2 linked regions of the Kluyveromyces lactis genome follow. The protein of the gene in region 1 purifies or fractionates together with the protein of each later gene. This does not show direct contact. Links are inferred from orthologs where the notes say so. Each region holds a gene or a part of one and is shown on either strand. Other genes may lie near its edges. The genes, in order: MUM2 and KAR4.

Region 1 (3,036 bases):
TTTAGATTCAACATTCAAGACAAGATTAAATGTGACAATTGTAACAAAGTTAAGTTCATGGATCAAGTTTCAGAAGTCATTCAGCTTCCATTAAGAAAACTAGACGGGGAGCAAAATCTAATTGACAGGTTAAATGATTACTTCAGTGGGGAAAAAATTGAATACCGTTGTCTCACCAATAAGAAAATTAACACTGCATCAAAAGTACCAGGGTTCTCTAGTTTCCCACGTACACTTATCATAAACCCGATTAGAATTGAGTTAATCAACTGGCAGCCAAGCAAGACATCAGAGCAAGTTGTGGTACCTGGTGTACGCGATGATGCTTTACTAGATATGTCCCCATTCAAAGCTACAGGAATTTGCGAAGGGGAAGAAGTCGAAGAAGAAGAGGAATCAGATTCCTTCCAATTCAACGAATTGTTCCTAGGACAATTAGAACAGATGGGATTCTCTCGCAATGCTACCAAAAGAGCATTATTTGAAACGGGAAACTCTGACCCTAATGCAGCCACGGAATGGTTGTTCCAGCATATGGAGGACCCTAACTTAAACGAGGCCTTTGATCCTCATGCTTCATCCTCAGCGAAAAATCGTGTCGATTCAGAAGCACTAAACAGTATGACTGCTATGGGGCTTGATTCGAAACTATGCCGCAAAGCTTTGATATTGAAGAATGGTGACGTCAATGCCAGTGTAGAATGGGTTTTCTCCCATATGGATGACGACGGGGAGTTACCTGAAGCTGAGGAATGGAAGGATCAATCCAGAAAAAGTTTTGGAATCCCAGCATCGTCAATTGCCTCTGCTAAGTATAAACTGACTGCTGTCATATGCCATAAAGGTAATTCAGTTCACAGTGGCCATTACGTTGCATTTATTAAGAAAGTGGTCGAAGGAAAAGAACAATGGGTTCTCTACAACGATGAAAAAATTCTCTTGGCCAACGATGAACCAAATTTCGAGGACATAGAAAAGAATGGCTACATGTTTTTCTTCAACCTTGAAGAATAAGAGGCATCTCCTCTCTAAATAAAAGAGACATGCATCACAACATGAAACTCTAAAAAAATAGGACTTGCCCACCTTCCTATCTGCATTGGGTATTCAACGATATGGTTGTGTGTCCATATATACATATATATCCTCGTACATGACTCAATTCAATACAGTATGGTGGGCTTATTCCTATTTATAGCGGTTCCTGTCTGGAGGCAGTTGTGTCCAGCCATTGCAAGTCACGTGAATATGCTTCATGATTCCCTGAAAATGAAACATGTCAGATCTGCCCTTAAAAATAAAGCAAACTAGATCAATTATTTACCAGTGACAGAACACTTGTTACCAAGTAAGTAGTCACACAATCTTCCAAAAACGATCAACAAACCATAAGTTATTTTAAAACCATGAATTCAAACGGATATATGTCTTACGTAAGTTTTTGCATACATTGGAGGATTGCCTACATGACACATTTTTAATCAATACTGTTTCTGTCTGTCCCTGTTTTCTATGAAACATGGAACAACCAAATTGAGACTATAAATGTTTCTAACTCATAATTAACCTTTTACTAACAGGTCAATGTTATCGTGTAGCAACCTGAATATAACCAACAGAGTTTGGATAACTCTTTCGCCAATCTGAATTTTGGTAGTTCTGACGAGTCCAAATTGTATGGCACAACCGCCAATGTCATGAACTCCAGCATGGCACATGGAGGTAGCTTCAGCTTACATGGGAACATTGATGGTATGGGCTCCCACTATAACCAAGGACTTCAGGGCCATTTGAGCGGATCTTCTACTCATAGGAGCAGCATGTCATCATATTGGGAACAGCCGCTCATAGAACAACATAATTCGCCCGAGATAGAGTCCTCGAGAGGCATTTCGTCAAACACGCATCCTGGAAGCTCTTCAAATAACACGGTAATAATGGACAGATCATCATATGCTAAAAGCTCAGGATTCAATACCACTTTCGACTCTGAAACAGAGCCATCATCAGACAACTTCAAACTTGAACTACAGTTGAAAGAGACACAGATAGAATCGTTAGAAATAGAGATAAAAAAATTGAAGGAGGTATTCAATCAGGGTTTGACTTTCAAGCAGCAAGAAGAGCAGAAAATGAAGAAATCAAAGGCTCTTACTTTCGATTCTGAAATCCAGATACCGGCATCCCTGGAAATAATATTTTGTAAGTTATCAGATTCATTAAAGAGAAAGGACCAAGAATTACAAGAAACAAAAAGACGACTAGAAGGAATAGTTACAGCGGTTGCGCTTAACCCTTCAAATTCTACTACAAAGTTTGGTAGATATGACGAAGAAGCTTTAGCACATAAAATGGTAACTCGATTGGAAACTTTAATGAAGGAAAACGAAGAAATGGCAAAAATGCTTAGTTATGGTCGAGTGAAGGAGACAAGTATCGAGCTCGAACTTTTACGTAAAGAAAACCAAGAACTCAAAGAAAGACTAAGGATTCTACAGCAAGAAAAGTAACACCAAAGTATAAGATCTTGATCCTTCTTTTTCTGATATTTTTGCTTTTTTCTGCCAATGACATTCTAGTTGGACGTTTTATTTGACGATCTAAAAACTTTCGAGAGTAATTCAAGATACATGTATGCTATATAACATCTACCTAGATTAGGTATACTTTGCTGACACACAAAAATGTAAATGAACCATTGATATTTATTTCATCCGACGTTAGAAACTTACGATTAGAGAAACTTGAACATACAAAGTGTAGACCTTTATGTGAAGTAATTTTAGTTGATTAAATAAACTGTATGCGGACTTGTCCTTGTAATATGTACATGAGGAGGCTCGGAAAATAAATATTGGTTGGCCGTTTATTCTTCCAGTTACCTGAGTTTGGCTATCTTTTCAAGAAGTGATTGTGTGTTTAAGAAGATTATGAGGTATTACAAAAACGATGCGGGAAAAGTGATTGTTATTCAAGCCTTTGAAAGAGCTCTTCTGTTTTTAACACCCTTTGCCAATAATCTTAGAACATCTTCAG
Region 2 (2,529 bases), on another chromosome or scaffold:
ATCATTTCATGATCGCTAACTTCTCGAAGCATCGAACAGCAAACGTTCACAAATGTCAAAAACATATCATCATCTAATGTATCCCATAAACTTACCAAAAATTGTTCTTGCAAAATTACACCTGCACTGAATGACTTTGGTACTTTCAGGAAAAATTTTGGTAACCATATCTTGTTGAACTCAAACCTACTCGAAACAGTTTTATAAACTATCTCTTGCATAATTGATCTGCTTTCTGGGTCAAAAGGACCCTTGCTTTTTGTTTCGATATCATGCAAATACTGGAACACAGGGTTTTCACCACCGTTCTGCACAACTACTGCTTCCAAAAAAGCTTCTGATTTTAGAATAGTATCATTGATAACTTGGATTTCTCGAAGTACATTCAAATCTATGACTAAGTTTTCAGTGTACCGTCCAACGTTTTCTAAAAGATCATTAGACTTTTTAGATAGATCTTTTTCCCCAGAAGAGATACTATATAACATGCCAATCTCACTATCGACTGCGTGTATCGTGTGCATGCTCTATATTTTTGAAGATAATACGTTCTCGAACAGGAAATATCAAATGCTGTAATTCAAAACACAGGTCAAACCCAAACCAAACATTTTGTGACAGGAAATTCAAATCTGCTGTTATTCCTAGTGTCTGTTGAACCAAAAGGCTTGACATAAACCTGCGACAGCGAAGAAAATAATTTTTTTCTTTTTTTGTTTTGACGCTTCTTTTTGTCACTGATAGTTTCAGATTGAAACTTTCATTCTAACGGAAAACGCGAACATATGTCAAGAATGAAAATCCTTTATAAACGGCGGCAAAATATTCTTATGAGTAACAATTAAAAGACACATTTCTAGTGCTAGTACAAGGCATCATCTGCTAAAACCCAATTTCACACAGTAGTATTTATACTCATATGGAAAGCACTTTTGTTTCAAGTATACACTTATTTCTAGTACTTTTCTCAGGATAAAACTATAACTGGCTGCTGAAATGTCGGCGGTTTTAGAGGAAATATATCAGAAAAAGGGGAATTCGAGTAAGAGCGTAGCGAGAGAACATGTCACACTTAGGCCTGCAAATGAGTTTCACACGAATGATCATTCAAATAACTATATACATACTGGATCGCTTCCCCAAACCCACGTAAGAAACATTGAGAATACTGTTGATGGATATCCGAAGTTGCAGAGGCTATTTAGCCTGAAGGAAAGGCAGGTAATGCAGTTTAATACAAAACCATTTGGTTGCAAGGTAGAGCTTGATGAAATAGTTCCCACATTAAATGATTGGGTACAAAAAGATGGTTTAACTTTCGATGTTGTCATGATTGGTTGCTTGACTGATAATCAATTTATCTATCCCCTTTTAACTCAGTTACCGATACATAAATTGATATCAAAGCCAGGGTTTTTATTTGTATGGGGAAGTGCACAGAAGATCAATGAGCTTTCAAGACTTTTGAACAACGAAATATGGGCAAAAAAGTTTCGCAGAAGTGAGGAGTTGGTTTTCGTCCCTGTCAACAAGAATTCACCATTTTACCCCGGATTAGAAGCAGACGACGAGTCACTTTTTGAAAAGATGCAATGGCATTGTTGGATGTGTATCACAGGAACAGTAAGAAGAGCCACGGATGGCCATCTCATACATTGCAACATTGATACCGATTTAGCAATCGAATCAAAAAATAGTAAAGTTGGGGCAATTCCGAATCAATTGTACAAGGTAGCAGAGAATTTTAGCACCGCTACAAGGAGACTTCATATCGTTCCCGCCAGAACAGGAAGTGAAACACCAATCCGGATGAGACCTGGTTGGGTTATCATGGGTCCAGATGTACTGCTAGACAACTTCAACGCTATGGAATATAAAAATGAGGTTGGAAGAGTTGGATCGAACCTGCCAAAAGATCCCTCCATAGAGTCATTAAGACCAAAATCTCCAATATCTATTAAAAATTGATGGTATATATAAGCTTGTAATTTCTAATTTGCATTCAGAAGGGCTAAGGTCTTGATTTGAACGAGGCATACGATATGTGTCATGTGTTTTATGTCTAGTCACTGTGGTCATTATCAATACAATCTCCATTCCCAAAATCGGCCGGTTATTTTGAATGAATAAAAACATCAGTTAAAGGCATTTTATTCATTTGAACCATTGTTCAACACCTTCCTTGATTGGAGTCAATAAACCTTTTTGTTTTGGTACATAGTTAATTCTATGGTAAGCGTTCAAATTCTTTCTCAAGACAATTTGGAAACAGGTGGCAGAGCCCTGTCTGGAAATAATAGTGGAGTATGCTAGGAAAAATTCCCAGATTCTGTACCATCTCATCCCATACTTGTTGACAACATCGTCCTTATGGCCAATCCAGTTTCTGTACCATCTCCATAAAGTTGCGGAGTAATCAACACCGATATTATCAATCGAAACGACCTCAAATCCAGTAGCTTCTAATTTTGAAACGACAAAATCTAACGGTGTAGAAGCGTCAGCACCAGGGAAAATATACTTGTTCAT

The links.
Region 2: the proteins of MUM2 (region 1) and KAR4 purify together in Saccharomyces cerevisiae (affinity purification with mass spectrometry; 3 studies listed by BioGRID, with this or other methods). This does not show direct contact. The link is inferred for Kluyveromyces lactis from reciprocal best matches to the Saccharomyces cerevisiae genes MUM2 and KAR4.

The regions. Positions count from the first base shown.
Region 1 is NC_006042.1:1,720,037-1,723,072, forward strand, and holds MUM2 (Mum2p), read left to right. Parts: upstream 1-1,697; coding exon 1,698-2,510; downstream 2,511-3,036. Other genes in the region: ubiquitin-specific protease UBP14, read left to right, coding at 1-1,014; 3-deoxy-7-phosphoheptulonate synthase ARO3, read right to left, coding at 2,972-3,036.
Region 2 is NC_006039.1:48,516-51,044, forward strand, and holds KAR4 (Kar4p), read left to right. Parts: upstream 1-996; coding exon 997-1,968; downstream 1,969-2,529. Other genes in the region: KLLA0_C00671g (uncharacterized protein), read right to left, coding at 1-524; KLLA0_C00715g (uncharacterized protein), read right to left, coding at 2,155-2,529. UniProt on the Saccharomyces cerevisiae protein: Component of the MIS complex, a complex that mediates N6-methyladenosine (m6A) methylation of meiotic mRNAs and is required for initiation of meiosis, progression through the meiotic divisions and sporulation.